Linked DNA regions of Coturnix japonica. The protein of the gene in region 2 purifies or fractionates together with the protein of the main gene of each other region. This does not show direct contact. Links are inferred from orthologs where the notes say so. Each region holds a gene or a part of one and is shown on either strand. Other genes may lie near its edges.

What was found. Proteins that work in one complex are often made in the same cells at the same time.
Region 1: the proteins of RC3H1 (region 2) and SERBP1 purify together in Homo sapiens (affinity purification with mass spectrometry, with the first as the bait; 3 studies listed by BioGRID). This does not show direct contact. The link is inferred for Coturnix japonica from reciprocal best matches to the Homo sapiens genes RC3H1 and SERBP1.
Region 3: the proteins of RC3H1 (region 2) and CNOT2 purify together in Homo sapiens (affinity purification with mass spectrometry, with the first as the bait; 3 studies listed by BioGRID). This does not show direct contact. The link is inferred for Coturnix japonica from reciprocal best matches to the Homo sapiens genes RC3H1 and CNOT2.

The regions. Positions count from the first base shown.
Region 1 is NC_029523.1:25,842,816-25,848,202, forward strand, and holds the start of SERBP1 (plasminogen activator inhibitor 1 RNA-binding protein), read right to left. Parts: upstream 3,970-5,387; 5' UTR 3,845-3,969; coding exon 3,466-3,844; intron 775-3,465; coding exon 618-774; intron 1-617. UniProt on the Homo sapiens protein: Ribosome-binding protein that promotes ribosome hibernation, a process during which ribosomes are stabilized in an inactive state and preserved from proteasomal degradation.
Region 2 is NC_029523.1:4,539,674-4,545,509, reverse strand, and holds part of RC3H1 (roquin-1), read left to right. Parts: intron 1-1,369; coding exon 1,370-1,654; intron 1,655-1,938; coding exon 1,939-2,156; intron 2,157-3,658; coding exon 3,659-4,032; intron 4,033-4,430; coding exon 4,431-4,562; intron 4,563-5,157; coding exon 5,158-5,328; intron 5,329-5,836. UniProt on the Homo sapiens protein: Post-transcriptional repressor of mRNAs containing a conserved stem loop motif, called constitutive decay element (CDE), which is often located in the 3'-UTR, as in HMGXB3, ICOS, IER3, NFKBID, NFKBIZ, PPP1R10, TNF, TNFRSF4 and in many more mRNAs.
Region 3 is NC_029516.1:32,389,841-32,395,334, reverse strand, and holds the start of CNOT2 (CCR4-NOT transcription complex subunit 2), read right to left. Parts: upstream 3,970-5,494; 5' UTR 3,955-3,969; coding exon 3,520-3,954; intron 1-3,519. UniProt on the Homo sapiens protein: Component of the CCR4-NOT complex which is one of the major cellular mRNA deadenylases and is linked to various cellular processes including bulk mRNA degradation, miRNA-mediated repression, translational repression during translational initiation and general transcription regulation.

The DNA of each region.
Region 1 (5,387 bases), about 21 Mb from region 2:
CTACGTCACTCACTGATGGTACAATCTCCCTCCCAGCCACCTTACTTTTAAAAGCATTTCAACACCCATCATTCACACGCTAACACTGGAGAATTGTTTTCAGAACTCTTGAATTCTGGACCCCTTTAGCCATGAGCTGCCTTCATTACTTCCACACCTGAAGCCACTGGAGCCAAGGAAGCGTGAACAGCTCCACAGATAAGCCCACATGGGCTTGAGGTTAACTGGACAAGTGAAGCAACAGCTGTAACAGCAAACGGATCTCATCCTGCAGGCAACAGCCACACTTCAGTTCCTCCTCTGACCTCTGTGTTGTGGATGTTCAGAAATACACCAGGTATCTTATTGATTTGCACCGTGCTTATTGTCAGACCAACAGAACCGTTCACATTATGCGACTCCTGCTAAAAACTTGAGCCATGCTCTTAAATGAAATCACACAATGGGAAAGTACTCTGTGCTGACACAGGTGCCTCTTTTGACCAACAAATGGAATTTAGTCACTTTAATTCTGATGCTAGCAGTTTTTGCTTGGCTTTTAAGCTTAGTAGCAGAAGAAAGGACAGCTCCACTCCAGAATATCACTGTGTCCAACATCACGCAAGGCAAATTCTTACTTATCAACAGAGAATTCTCCTCCTTCGCCCTTCTCATCGGCAGGTTTATCAAATCGGCGCTCACGGGGAGGTCGTCTCTCAGGTCTCCTGTCAATGGGTTTGCCTTCACCCTGCTGCTGCTGCTGCTGATCAGGCCTCCTGCCAATGCGCCTTATCCCTGCAACAGGAGCAAAACACACCAACGGAATGCAGAGCTGCACCGGGACAGATACTGCAGGCAGCACTGTCATACAAAGATGAACATGAGCCGGAATTCAGGCTTTTCTTCTAACCCTGTGACCATGTGGTCTTAGAAACGATACCTTTATGAGGATCATTTGACTCCAACTGACGTTTGAATGCAGCATTTCAATCAACCTGCATTTAGTCCAAGCATATGCTCCTACAGTACTGTGGGAACAAGACCTGTCAGAGCACACAGCCACCACAGATCCCTGTTCAAACGATCCAGCTTTCAAAGAAGGATCAAGATAAGCAAGTTTTGTGTTCTTTCTCCAAAGGGCACTTTTCAGGTACAACATGTGCTTTCTATTTGATATGCACCAAAACAAGGCCAGCAGCTTCCCCAGAATCGAGCCCCCACAACAGCCACCCTGTTTCATCCGACTGCGCTCTGCCTGCAAGCATGGAACCAGAGGAAGCACCGGGGGCTGTGCTGCCCAGGGGGCCACCTCCCCCCAGCCCCGTGGCACCCCCCCCCCCCCCATGAAGCAGGCAGCTCAGCAGGCACAGCTCAGTGCCTCGCAATGACTCGAGCGCTGCTGCTCACAGCCCCGCGTGCTGGCGGACAAAGGCTCAGGCAGCAGAGTGCTGCTCACAGCCCCAGAGCTGCACTGCTGCAATGGACCCAGCTCCTGTCTCCATTTCCACACCTTCTGAAACGGGCCGGAATAGCCACTCCCCATCACTATGACATCTAAAGGGCCTTAAGTACTTTCCCAACCATCTTTACTACTTTTTAGGAAGAGCCGCACAAACTGCTCTGGGTGCTGTCACACAAACCACCATCCCTCCAAAACACGCAGGGAACAAAGCCCTCAGCAAAGCAGCACCCCAGGGCTGCCTCCAAACAGGGCTGCTGCTTAAAAAAAGAGAAAGAAAAAAAAAGCCAGTTTTGAATATTCCCAAAGACAGCAGATCCTGCCGAACAAGCAGCGCTGCACCTGGGTGGGGCCCAGAAGTTCCAGCTGTAATGATATCCACGCCAACACGCCCAGCCTAACAATGCCTCCTTACCTGACACATGGTGCTGAGCACACGTTGGCATGACAGACACTGCTCACTCCCTGCAGGAACACAGCGGCCTCGGCCCCTACTCATTCCCAGCAGAGCCACATGTTTGTAGAGGCGCAGCACAGCGGCCGTGCCACGCTGAGGCCCACAGCAGGGCTGCAATGTACGATCCAATGTCAAGTGCAGCACCCTGTGCTCAGCACGGGGCTCCCAGGAGTGAACCTGACAAGGTACAGCATTATCCCACAGTACATCAAACAACTGCACCTTGCAGAGCAGTGCTGCAGCAGCAGGCCAGGACGCCTGTTTCATTGCTATAATAATCCACAGCAGACTCCTTGCCACAACAAAGCACTGCTCGTTCTGTAAAGTCAACTTGAGAACCAAGAGGTGACCGTCCCTGAGCCATCCAAGGACCCAGACCCTGTGTGCTGGTGAAGCACCCACCCCCATGTCACTGCGTGGGCTCCCAGTGCCAGCCCACACCTGACCCACACCCATGGGGGACTGAACTCCAGGAACCACCGTTCAGGACAATAATCCCTGGCATCACAGTGGGAAACACAAAACACCCACAGGCAGAGCACTACAACAGCCCCCAGCTGCTGCTCAGTGTTCTCTCACACCCAACAGGAGCACCTTCTAGTACCATATATTCATTTCTCTCTTAAAGCCCAGTGTAACCCAAGCTACACGGGGTGCTGCACGGCCACCTGCATGCACAGAGCCACTGCTGCTCACACAGCCCTGTGCCACAGCTTGTTAGTTGAGGCTGTGTGCATTTCCAACAGCCACAACACCCGAGTCCTCCTGGTGCGATGGCTCCGGGGTCGCACAGCCATGATGGAGGATGCGAGTTATTAACACAGTGCACGTTGTTCCTACTGACTCAGTTCTTACCGCTGCACAACAAGGAGTGAATGACTTCTGCTCCGAGCGCGACACACACCTGCACCCCCGGCTGCCTGGATTCCGTGTGGGGGTTACCCCAATTAGATTCAATACCCCAATTCGATTCAATACCCCAATTCCTGCTGCTCCCATGGCGGAACCGCAGGGTCCCAGCAGTGTGGAGCTGTTAGGGCCCCCACCCCAATGCTGAGAGCCCCCACCAGCTCCGGCTGCTCGGACCCACCGGCGGCTTCGTGCAGCTCCGGGATTCGTACAGCAGCTCTATGCAGCGGTGCCGGGGCCGCGCTGCCTTTGGGGAACGAACTTCCCCGCGCACCTGCATTAAACCTGCCCTGTTAGAGCTGAACGCGGTTCCCCCCCGTCCCCCCGCTCCCCGGATTCGCTCCCGAGTTCCCGTCTCGCTGCGTTCCCTCATTACCCCGCTCCGTTCCCCGCTCCCCCCCGTTGCACCCCACGCGTTCCTCCATTTTGGGGCCGCGGCCACGTGCGGTTCCTCGGTGCTCCCGGGGCCGCCCCCCCCCGCGCCACGCGGCCCCGCTCCCGCCACGTGCGCACGGCGGTGCCGCTCCCCGCTGCCCGGCTCCCCCCGTCGCCGTCCTCCCGTTCCCCTCCCCGCTCTCCGTCCGTCCCTCTCTCCCTCCCGGCCGTACCCGCCGCTTCCCGCCGCCCCCTTTGTGCCCGTTGGCGGTTTCCCGGCTCTCACCGTCCTTGCGCAGCGCCGCTCCGCTCTGCCCGCCGCCGTCCTCCCGTCGCTCTCCCCCGGCGGACGCGGCGAATGGCGGCAGCGGGTTCTTCCGCTCCTTCTGGGACTCCCTGCGCAGCTGTTTGGCCGCGCTCCCCGCTCCGCCCGTCGCGGCCTGTCCCGCCGTTCCGCCGCCGGCTCCTCCCGCGCTGTTGCTCTGCGCTCCGCCCGAGCCGCCCCGGGCCCCGCCGCCCCCCTGGGCCCCGCCGCCGCCGCCGCTCTCTTTCCGCCGAGTCTCGGCCGCCCGCAGCACCTCGAAGGGGTCGGACTCGTCATCGAAAAGCTGGTCGAAGCGGTTGGTGACGACGCAGCCGAAGCCCTCCTGCAGGTGTCCGGGCATGATGGGCCCCCGTCGGCGGGATCCTGCTCCGATGCTGCCGGGCCCCCCGCGCCCTGCTGCCTGCCGCACAAGATGGCCGGCCGAGAACAGACCCGCTTCTCTTCCGGCGCCGGCCACATCCGGGCACCTCACCCCCGCGCGGGGCGCGCCGGGATTTGGAGGCGGCTCGCGCCCAACTCCGCGCGCGCGTGGGCGGCGAACTACAACTCCCGGCGTGCACCGCGCCGCCATTGTGCCGGGCCGCGGGCGGGGCGGGGTGTCATGGCGGCGGCGTGGGCGGGAACGCGGAGTGAGGAGCGGGAATGGGCGGGAAAAGCGACACGGCTCCACACGGACGGGACGGGCGGATACAGAGTGTGGGACCGGCTGTGGGGATACACAGTGCGGGACCGGCTGTGGGGATACAGTGTGGGACCGGCTGTGGGGATACACAGTGCGGGACCGGCTGTGGGGGTGGATGGCCGCCTGCTGCCCTCAGTGCTGTGTGTGAGCACTGCCGGCTGCTGGCGGGGTGCTGAGCAAGAAGAGGGAACGGGCCGGCTCCGGTCGTGGTGGGGCCGTGGCGGGGCCGTGCTGTGCCCTCACTCCGCCCCTCCGCTGTAGTTTCCTTACTTTGAACTAAATAACCCTCACGTTGCACAGCGCTGTTCCCTCCCGCTGTGTCCCCTCCCTGTCCCTGCAGCCCCACCAGGAGCTGCTCGGTGCTCCGTGAGGCCGCACTGACTGACTGCACGGAGAACATTGTGAACGAAGCTCAGCCGTGGCTTTGGAGCAGCAAAGCTCCGTGTGTCACCTCACACGGCATCCTGCAAAGCTGCTGCTGCAACTTTGTGCCCATTCCCTGGCACCGTTCTCACTGCATTCCCGACGTGCTGCACGGAGGCGGCACTCAGAGCAGCGCTCAGGGCTGCAGTGAGATGCAGGGAATGCACGGAACACAGCGTGCTTTGTGCTGAGCTCTGTGCACTGCACAGCAGGGCTGGCAGTGGGGCACAGCAGCAGGCAGACGTCCTGCAGGGCTCCTGTGTACCCTGTCATTGCAGCATGGGGTCTGCAGAGCAGGAAAACCTGCTCACTCTTCACTGTAAACACATGAACAGCACTGCTTCCTCACGAGGCACGTGCATCGGGAAGCAGAGCAGCACAGCCCCGCTCTGCACGTGGAGATGTGCAGCAGAGAAGTGAAGCAAAGCGTGCGGCCGCAGAACATCAGGTAACCCGGACTCATGGAGCCTGTTCCTCCTTCCCCTGCATCCCCAGCAGCTCGCAGGGTGGGTGCTGCTCCTGCCCAGCCCTGGCACAGCCGGTATTTCCAGCTGACGGAGGAAGCAGAGGGTTGGTCCTGAGCTCTGCCCTTAGCAAACCGCTCTGCAGCATCCAGCCACGCTCAGTGGGCTCTGCCGTGCTCCGTCCTCAGCACATGGGAGGAGGAAAAGGGAAGAAATGAGGCATTTCCCCTCACAAGGGCTGGGGCAGTGGGCACAACAGCAGCGCTGTGGAGGCCAGGACGAGTGAAGCACATGCAGTGTGCACCCATTGGAGC
Region 2 (5,836 bases):
AGCATATTGTTGTGAGCTATATGAGTGAGCAGGAATTATTAGCTGTCTCCTTCTTGCAAGTTATGTGCAGACCTTCAAAAGATCAGGAGTTAGGAGGCACTGCACCTCTAAGAGACCTAATGTGAGTGAGATGGCCAGAAGTTATTGGCAGGCAGAACATGCTGTGCTGATGCTTTGCAGGGAAAACCAGTTTAGCTTTGAGTAGAATGGCCAAGTAAAGTGATACACTCAGCCTGGGGAGCTCACTTCAGCTCACCTCCATGTCTCCAGCTGGCAGGAAATGCCAGAATGACTTCTAAGCAGCATGTTTTTAGAAAGCCTTAAACTGTCTGTCCCTCCTCGCGTGCTTGTACCGTGTTAATATCTGTCTGTTTATTCCTTTTAATATGTTCTGGACAATGCCTGCTGTCATTACCACATAGCCTGGATTTAAAGTGTTGTTTTGTTTGTGTTACCATCTCACTTTACTCGGAAGTGTTTGCTTCATCCAATCTAACCCCTGTGAAGGCTTCACACATAAGAAAGTCTCCTGCTCTGTGAGCACTCAGGCTAACAGATGTGCCCTCCCACTTGTGTTCTTGTATCTAAGCTGGTGGCAGGAGGTTTAGTGGAGGACCTTCAGCTCTGGAATTTGTTCCCTTTGTTAGTCCAATACCATCAGTCTGCTGATGTTTTTTTTTGTTAGTGTAAAAGGGCGCTTGTTTGTTCAGACTTATCAGAAGCAGTTGGATTTTGACATTATACTGTGTCTAGAGATTTTTCTCTGAAATCATTTATCAAACCATGCAAGTGGTATCAGCTGTATATTGCTATAGTAACAAGGCATGATATATCAAGATCAGTATGAAGGTGATACAGTTTGACACTAAGGACTTATGTTGGCTTTATGTCAGACAAGTGATGTAAAAGATAATCTATCTTCTATGATTCCTTTAGTTGTCTGCTGTTGGTTTATTCTCTAAATAAAATAGACGTCAACAGTCTGTGATTCTTGTTTTGAAACTTCTGTTATTACAGGTGGTATTTTAAGTGGTGTTTGTTTTTGGTTGATTTTCTTCATTACAGTTGTAATGGATATATGTGCAGGAGGGAAGATTTCAGGTTTTCTGAGCTCTTGGTGTAGTTGTCATAAAAAATCCACACTTGGTGAGATTGATACTGGTTCATTTGATTGAAATTGATATGAGCACGTCAAATTGCAGCGAAATTCTAGTCTTTCAGGTATTAATAATGAACCTCTCAAGCCAGTAGGAAATACGATTTCGAACTTGAAACTCTGGTGCCACCTGTGTTTGGGGGAAAAAAGAAATCTTGAAAATCCTTTCAGTATTTTGTTTCAGTTTTTGATGTGTAACTTCTTTCTTCAAAGATTTCGTAAAATGAACAAGCGTCTGGTTCCAAGAAGACCTCTGAGTGCCTCCCTGGGCCAACTGAATGAGGTGGGCCTGCCTTCAGGAGCTATCCTCTCGGATGAAGGGGGAGTGGACTTGCCCAATAGGAAAACCTCTGCTCTGCCAAATGGAATTGTGTCAACAGGCAGCACAGTGACACAACTTATTCCTCGAGGGACGACTGACTCCAGTTACGAAGCTGCTCTGAAACCAGGGAAGATGGACCATCTGAGTAGCAGTGCCCCTGGATCCCCTCCTGACTTGTACGGGTCTTCTTAACTGTTGTTCAAAGTGTCCTGTCTAAACATGCAGTAGAGACCAAAGTAAACCCACTCTCTAGAAAAGAAGCAGAATGGTTTGCTTGTTTGTTTTGTGGTGGTAGAGTGCAGTAGAAAACTATAGCTAAAATAATGAATTGCTTTACATCTCTGATTGCTTATATTTTAATTGGAGGAGATGATGCAAGTCTTCAGAAGATGGAATATAGACAGAGTACCTGTGAACTGTATCAGCTTTTAATAGGCAATGTCACCTTTCTACTTCTTAGGCTGGAACCTGTCTCCAAGAGCTCTATTTCTGCCTTACCAGTGAACCCTCATCCTGTGCCTGCTCGGGCACCAACAGATCTGCCTTCAGTGTCTGTCACAAAACAGTTGCAAATGGTACCTCGTGGATCTCAGTTGTATAATACTCAGCAAGCAGATATCTTTTATCAAGATCATAGGGGAGCTGCCCCACCATTTGAGCCAGCACCCTACCAGCAAGGTACGTTTGTGACCAAGCTCTCTATCTTCTGATTTACATATCAGTTTTATTCTTTCTTCCCACTTTGGTGTTTATTTATGTTTCAAATTAGTTTTTTTTTGCATATCACATAGAATTCAGGCATTAATGTGGTTATGGTATAGTACAGTGGAAATAGATGCGTCAAGATGCTGTACAGGTGTATAAATGCAGTTGGTGAGTTACCTCCTGCAAGACTTCATAAGTCTTGATTGAGGAGCTTTAGATGTTTTTGTCCACTGTAGTAAGTCCCTCTTTCTTCAGTTTTTCCAAACAGTTGGCCAGGTCAGTAAATTAATGTGGTAGCCCTGAATTCTATTTGATACAGGGAAAATGGAAAGTAATGTTTAAACAGCAGAGGGGTTTATTCCTGAGGGATAAAATAAAATACTTCAATGCAAGCTGTGTTAATATTTCAGAAATGTATGCGTATGCATATGATGGGTAGAAATGAGTGAAATTAGACAACAGCTGGGCAAAAAAAAAAAACAATAGTAAAAAAAAAAAATGGGAATAATGGGAAAGGAAAAGTAAAGGAAATGGAAGAGTTATATGTGTAAAGAGACCAAATGGAAAAAGAAAATATTGAAGGATATTTACAAAAAATAAACCCACAAACCTACGGCTATAGCAAGATGAGGAATCAGTCTTGTCATGGAAGAAGAAATTGAAGAGAGAACTGGAATAAAGTGAAAATAATGTCATAGAAAAAGAAAGAATGTGACTAATGGAAGTGGAAAGAAGCTCTAGGAAGGAGTGGAGGGAAGCATTTGGGGGAATAGGAAGCTTGTATTTGATTTTTGCATGCCAATGCATGACAAAGTTGAATGTGCTCAGTTAGTGATGTGTCCCCTGTCCATATGCATTTGTAAATTATCCAGGAATCTCAGATCAATTACCTGAAACATTCAGGTAACTAACAGATGTAATTTTAAGAGGTCTTTGGTGGTTCACAGTACTGAAATTTGCTTCTGTTTCTCAAGAGGTAGAGCAAATATTTGAATAATTAACTTTAAAAACCTCATTAATCCCTGTTTATGCAGGCAATGACTGATGTGTTGGGGCAAACTGAGTTTTTAGTTGCACAGATAGAGGCATACAAAATGATCTTCCTTTTGCTTTTAGCTCTCTATATAAAAACATTCAGGTAAATAGAGAGACATCCTAGTGAATTAATTCTGGTTAGTACACTGTGGAACCTGTGGTGGGCTCGATCTCACTGCCTTTTCTTCAGCTACAGTAATCTTTACATCTTGCTGTCACTTGTGCTTTGGATCAGCTCCTGCTTCTCTAGGGTTTTCTGAAGTGGTTAATTCTTGAGTAGAAATACCTGTTAGACAGTGGTGGCAAACAGTAAATGCGTATTAATTTATATCACTGTTCATGATACTTGTAAACTGCAGTGTTTGAATCAACCCACTTTTATGAACAACTGTAATAATTTCATTCTCTACCTTGTTTGTCTTTTTCTTGCCTAAATTCAGGAGTTTACTATCCTCAAACCATGTCTCGCTTTGTGCGACCTCCTCCATCAGCTCCAGAACCTGGTCCACCTTATTTAGACCATTACGCTCCCTACCTTCAGGATCGTGTGGTGAGCCCCCAGTACACACAGCCTCAGCAATATCCTCCGATGGGACAACCCATATATCCCCCGCACTACGACAGCCGCCGTGTGTACCCCCCTGTCCAGCCATATCAGCGAGAGGAGATGGTCCGAGGAAGCCCTGTACCCATTGAAATTCCACAAGCAGCTGTACCCTCCTACGTACCTGAATCCAGGGACAGATACCCACAAACAGAGAGTTATTGCCCAGTGGCTCCCCATCTCAGTCAGATCAGACCTTCCTGCCACCGGGTATGGTATTCCTAATGTGTTTTTGAAGTTGTTCCCAGAGAGAAAATACAAACTAGTTGAGAAATTGATTATTTTTTTTTTCCAAGTAAGGTTGTGGTTTATGTGAGGAATTTAAAATAATAATAATAATTAAAAATAAATTGGAGAATTTGGTGTGAAGCTGATGAAAAAACCAGAAGGCAGTTTATTATCGGCCAGCTTGGTGATTGTAATGATGTTAGTGTGTAAAAAGCAGCTTACTGTTTAGAGCTTGAGGAACGTAAGTATTGTGATTATCCATTTCTTTTAACATAGAGCTGCCTTCTCTTGCTTGGATAAAACAGCATTTTCTAAATTAGTGATTTAGCATGTTGGTAATGCTTCAGAAGTTTTGTAATGTATTCCTGTCTTAATTTCAGCCTCACCCCAGCCTGGATGAACTTCACCGACGAAGGAAAGAGATCATGGCACAGTTAGAGGAGAGGAAGGTTATTTCCCCACCTCCTTTTGCACCTTCTCCAACCTTGCCTCATCCTTTTCATTCAGAGGAGGTAAGAATATTTTTACTTGTGAATATGATTAGAAAATGTTCTGATGTTTTTTTCGTGTGAGCTGACAAGTGACAGTAACAAGAAAACTAGTACAATACCATGTTGAAAAATGTTGTGGAGAGAGTATCTTGTATTGCAGGTGGGAAACCCTTGTAATATGATCTCTGGAATGACTGGCTATTCTGTGATCTACCACTGATCTGTAATGGTCAGCTGTAGGTGGCACCAAGAGAATTAAATCAAGCTATTATTAATTGAAGTAGTCAGACTTCACAGTCACTAAACTTGGCTTTGTTCATTCCCAACAAGTTTAGAGTTACCTAGCAGTTTGGGGCTTTTTTTGGTATCATTTGTTTTTTTAAACCAAGGTTAAAATATATCACTCTCGTACTGAGCAAGTGAACAGTTGGTGCTGGAATTGTTACCAGCCAATCAAGATTTGATATGTCTTCTGCCTTTTGTGGCCCAACTCCAAATGCATTCAATTAAAAAAAATAATAATACAAAAAATCTGATGGTGTTTTTTAAGTTCACTGCTGTTGAGCTAATCAGCTGTGGCTGTGAAGCTGCATCTTCTCCTTACTGACAGAACCAGATCTTTGTTTTTGTACAGTACTTAGATGAAGACCTGAAGGTAGCTGGGAAATACAAAGGAAATGACTACAGCCAGTACTCTCCCTGGTCCTGTGACACCATCGGCTCCTACATTGGAACCAAAGATGCAAAACCCAAAGATGTCGTGGCAGCAAGGAGTGTGGAGATGGCGGTATGTAAAGATTAGGGGAACACCAAAGAAAAGCTAATGCTTCTCTAGGCTGGGAAGGACTCTTTGCTCTCCAGGTTGATGTCGGTACTTGTGGAGGACTTTTAAGCTCAAAAGCGCAACATAGTGAAAGAATGTATTTGCAAGTGAACAGAGTGTTCTGCTTTTGAGGTTATAAGCACTCCTATGTCTGCATTACTGCTTTAAAGTTCTGGATATAGATGCAGGCTAACTGCTCTGCAGTTAACTGTTCTTTATGCTTACTTGAAATCTAAAAATGACTCTACAGGCAGCTTGTTAATTAGACATATCCATCTGTTGCTTCCTCTTCTCTGTAATAGGAAGCTACCATAACTTTGTGTGTTATTAATTCCATTTATGGTGATTGTGACTGCTCTCAACAGTATTATTAGATTCTATTTGATTTTCTAGGATGTTGTGACCACAAGAATGCTCTAAATTTGCTTGAAATTTTTCAGAAGTGTAGTCACAACACTAGTCTGATTCATCT
Region 3 (5,494 bases), on a different chromosome or scaffold from region 2:
TCTCCATCTCAATTTGGGGCCCAAAGCAGCTCAGCTCTGAGCTACTACCAACTAGCACCATACGACTTCCAGCATAACAGTATAAATGAAAGACACAACACAAACTAAAAGCAATCTGAAAAGTTTATGGTCTTTTGTTATTGCTGAAATAAAAGCATAAAGACTGTAACTCCTATACAGAAATCTCTTACTGATTAGCATGGAAACATACGGTTGGAATACAAACACCTCTAAAAACAAATTTCCATAAGGAAAACTTCAAACATCCCACTGTGCAATAATTTCATTTGACACAACCCTCTCCACGCTGTTACAATGTTCCATAAAAGTAGATTGAGTTGTCAACATCCCAGCCTCTACCCTGAAAGCTCTGATGTAAGAGGTTAACTGTCAGCACACCAGTGGCTGCTTTTAAGTCAATGAGACTACCCACAAAGTTTCAGTTGTTCGTATGTTTTTACAGGAACCCAGGGCAGGAGACCAATGCAACACACAAACACAGAACGTAGATGCTGAAGCACAACAGAAAACAAACTAAGAAAAGAAAAAGAAAGTCAATCAACCCTTTTTGGGAAAGAACAAGTGAAACAGGTTGAGATAGCTGGATGAACTTCAAGATCTGCTACATAGAAGAATGGCTACATACTTACTTGGTTTTTAAATTTACTTACTTGCACCTCATAAACCCAGATGAGGCAAAGTTAATCCAACTTGCATCTCCTGCCCTTTGTCAAGCAGCACTGCCATTTGTGTAGAAATTATTTACAATCATCATAAAAATAGTTTTTAAATGATCATTTAGAGGGTAATCCTTTAAATTGGAGCCCAAAATACTTCTTTGACGTAATGGTGTTGTGCTTCTATAGAAGCTTTCTGCCTGTTTGCTAACAGTAAGATAACGTTCAGAAATATACAACAAATACGGCAAGGATTCTGCCAAGAAATTGAGAATATTTCTATTTATATATGAACAAGATTTTTGTTTGCTTGTTTTCATATTAAGTGCCTTTGAAATCTGTGTTCAACCACATTATAGCTTCACAGGAAGAGATAACCCCAAAGAAGTTAGTACAAGAACCTACCTGAGAACCAAGATTGGGAGCTAATATGCACTTCTTATGCGCCCCATAACAAAGCAAGCAAGTCAGCACTTCCCTTAAGTTTCCAGATCACATCAAAAAGGCAGGTACAAACAACACCTATTTTAACTAAGAGTGTACTTTAAATTATGCCACTTCTAGAGTCATTAACAACTCTGCTAGAAAATATTTTGCGACTCCTTGTTATGGCACACAACTGGTTGAGAAGCACAGTGAGGTTACAAATCCTGCAATGCTCACAGCACAGCCTGGCCCTTGTGCCAGTGCAGAAGTACAAAAACCACGCAAAGGAGCCTCAAAATGCAAGAAAGTTTCCAACTTCTGTCTGGCCAGAAATACAGCACAGCAAATATAGCAAAAATAGTTCATGAAAGCTACCATTGCCTGAGAGATATGCCCAGCTTTTTAGGGCTGACGTGAAGACCAAGGCTTCCAGGTGCCATCATGCAGCCAGGGGACAACGCATTAACCATTCTGTTCTTCCCAGTGAAAACCAATTCCCTACAGCTAGACTCTTTTAAAGATGACTCAAATCATCTTTAATAAATTTTGTAGTTGGTGTTTTCTTGCTAGCTCTTAACCAAGGGCTTTTGCTTTCACTGCTGGTAGAATCGCCCCGCAGATGGGTGACAGTAATAACGATAATTCTGAGAGTTATGTTACCTTTCTAGAAGAAAAGCACAGAGCAGATTTACCTGCTAACAAACTCTTACAGACAGCTTCCTGAAAGTGAAACAGAAACACACTTGCAAGTCAGGTGGGTCAGATCCTGGTATCAAGTATTCAAATCCCTTCCTAAGATTAGAAGCAGTTAACACCTTGAAGTTTTTCACTCCAGATGAATTCTCACCATCAACAGTAGCAAGGTATTGAACACAGCCTTAAAGATTAAGAAACTGGACCCTGCAAGACACATTACACTAGAGAGAACTCCAAGTACCCCATTGCACACCTAACAACCCGTACAGGTCCAAGTAGAGATGCCTTTGCAATGCAAACCTAAACAATTACTCTGCTTTTGCAGGTCTTTACAAGTTTTAACAGCCTGAAACAAATCCAAGTTTCCAGAAAGGCGAGGATTCCCGCAGAGTGCTGTGACAGCAGTTTAAACATCTCAACCTCCCTTCCCCAGGCCAAGGGGCTTTGACAGAGCCCCCAACACCACAGGGATACCGTGTGTAGGGAAGCAGGAACACTGCCTTCACCCATGTGAGTCACATGTATATACACACGCATGAAAAAGAATGAGACACAGACAGTTATGATCATCTTCTAGGGATAACGCTGTGCAAAGTTGGAAACAAGTTCTCTGATAAAACAGACTTAGAGCCGATCCACACCTAACAGCTTGTTTTCACTAGCTCACATTAGACGACCACCAAAACAAAGTTACCTGCAACTTCATTGAAGAAAACAAATTAAAAACAAAGAAACCACCACCAACGACACAGAAATTCCAACCGGCAGCACATGCAGGCAAACCCCTGCTTCTGTCAGGGACACAGCTGCAGCCCTACACCTCACACTGCAGGTACCACCCTGACCCATTGCATCCCCCCACCCCGACTGAGCACACCGTGCACGCAGGCAAATTCTTGCATGGGATCACTCCGTTTCAAGTTTGTTTTACCAACACATCTGAGGGAATAGCAAAACCTGTTTACACATCACCTTAACCGCCACCAGGAGGAGGGTGTAAAAGGCGCACACACGCGCAAAAATAATAATAATAATAATAATGATGATGATAATAAAATAAATAGAAGAAATATATATATATATAATTTGTAAAAGGAAGCAGGCCGACGGTATCCCCGGCTCACCCCGTTCCTCAGCCGGGGACTCGTTGAAGGCCCGGCGCCGTAGGCCGCGAGGCCGCCCCGGCAGCACGGCGCCGCCCGGCAGCGGGGCCCGGCGGCACCCGGCGGCACAGGCCGGGCCACCCCTACGCCGGGCCCGGCGGGAGGTGGCGGCGGCGCAGGGTGGAAACGGAGCCCGCGCGGCCCTCGGACGAGCCCGGCAAGGGAGAGAGACGGCGGGCGGGAGCCGTCCCGAACGGGCCGCGGCAGCAGAGCGACGGCCGCGGGGGATGCGGGGCCCGAGCGCGGCCGGGCCTCGGGCTCGGCTGGGCCTGGAGCGGCTCCCGGCGGACCCCGCCGGCCGCGGTCGCTATGGAGGGCGGGGGGCGGCGGGCCGGGCCGGGCCTGCGGCTGCGCTCCGGGCTCGGGCGCCGCGCGTCCCCCCCGCTCCCCTCGGAGACAAAAGCAAACGGAAACCCGGCGGGACGGCCCCGGGCCCGCACAGCCCCGCCGAGGGCCGCGCCGACGCCGGGTCCCCCCTCATCGGGCCGCGGGAGGGCGGCGGCGGGGATCGGGGCGGCGGCGGGGGGTCGGGGGGGGGCGGCCGGGGCCGGACTCACCGCATGAATTTTCTTGTCCCGCGGATCCAAGATGGCTGAGTATCCAGCACGGAGGATGCTGGGGGAGCAACCTTTACCCTCTGACCCGGCCGACGCCGTGACCCCGCCGCCGCCGCCGCTCGGCCCGCTGCGGCGCTGAGGGGCGGGGAGAGCGACGTGCCGCCCGGCGATAAGGAGCGACGAGGGATCCAGGGGACGGGAGGAGGAGAAGGGGGAAGGAGAAACGAGGCCCGATCCGCCGCGCTTCCTCCGCCTCCCGCGGGAGACGCGGCCCTGCGCCTGGGGCCGGCGGGACACGTAGGCCGCGGGGCTGCCGCGCCGCTCTGCTCCGCGGGGCCTGCAACAGGCGGGAACACGGAGCTTCGCCGCTGCCGAGATCGGCGCCCATTTTGTGAGGGCAGGGGCGGCCCCGCATCCACATCGGCCCGCAGACATACACCCAGCCTGGCACCAACACGGCCTGTTGGTACGGCCTAGTAACAAGGGCAGAGGAGACGTGTCCTGGTTCTTCTGACAATAGCAGGACACGGGGAAATGGTTTTAAGTTAAAAGAGGGAAGATTTAGGTTGGATGTTAGGGGGAAGTTCTTCACTAGGAGAGTGGTTAGGCCCTGGAACAGGCTGCCCAGGGAGGTTGTGGATGCCCCGTCCTTGGAGGTGTTCAAGACCAGGTTGGACGGGGCCCTGGGCAACCTGATCTAGTAAAGGTGTATGTTTGGTGGCCCTGCCAGGCAGGGGGGTTGGAACTACATGATCCTTGATGTCCCTTCCAACCTGGGTCATTCTGTGATTCTGTGTGTGATTCTTCTGGAGATGCAGGATGACCTAAGAGAGGTCTGGATCAGGAACCGCCATCCTGATGAGTGAAATTGTGTGAAAATCTGAATCTCCTGTGTTGGCGAGGTCACGGTGGATGCACAGGCTTTTCTGCCTGCATTATGATTAAAATGGACGACTTACCTATATAATACAACCAGAGTTTTTAGTTTATCACTGTGAAAATATGTGGTGATATCACGTACAGCAAATGCAGGTGCACAAAATGCTCATAATGCAAATAATCCCTTTGAAATCAATGAGACAATGAACAGTACCAATGCTGAGCCTGTACACGAGTGTTTATACATCGAGGCCAATGATATTTGCCAAGCGGCTTCTCCTTTCATTAATGGTAGTTCTTTTTTAGTTTTGTTAGGAAATAATGATGAAGTTGTAAAATGAAAAGAAAAAACTGGCGTGTAACACTTCGCCAGGAATAGTCGTCTTCTTTCACTTACTGCACACACTCGTTACCAGTTGGGTTTGATTTGGGAGTTCAGTTGGTTACATAGCACTGAGATTTCACTGAAGTCCTGTTGGTACCTGTGGTGATGCATCTCTTTAATGCTTCAAAGTAATCTCTGAAGCTGATGAAGAGAATGTATTAGGCTGTACATGCTGGGTTCCTACAGTTGTAGGCCCATGCAGTCAAGTGTTGCTGTGATTCTTTTCGAGTCCATGAGCATCATCATCTCCATTTAAATTTCCAGCTGGCCATTGCTTCTGCTGATATCCAGAGAGAGCTATAAGCATGCAGCATGTGTCTGGAGCACTATTGGCATGAACATTTGGAAAGAGGGCACCAAGACAAACAAATGTACTTAGAATCCCCAAATGCTTTATCACTGTGGATCTGTGCATTCACGGGCAAGTCACTGCAGTGAACGTTCCTTAACTCCTGCTCCAGAAACATTGTAGTTGCTCTTTGGCCCCATTCAGCATCACTGATGGAGTTGGGCAATGCAGCCACAGATGTGGAAGGAAGAGGAATTGCCAGAGTGCACACAGGACACAATTATAGTGCTCCATTTGCTTTGCTGTAATAAGACCACCATCCTCAGCCCCGAATGGAGGCAGAACACAATGAATAGGCAGGTTTGTGGGTCAGTTTCAGGTACAACCAAAAAGCACGTTGGAATGCATCAAGAATCTTTCCT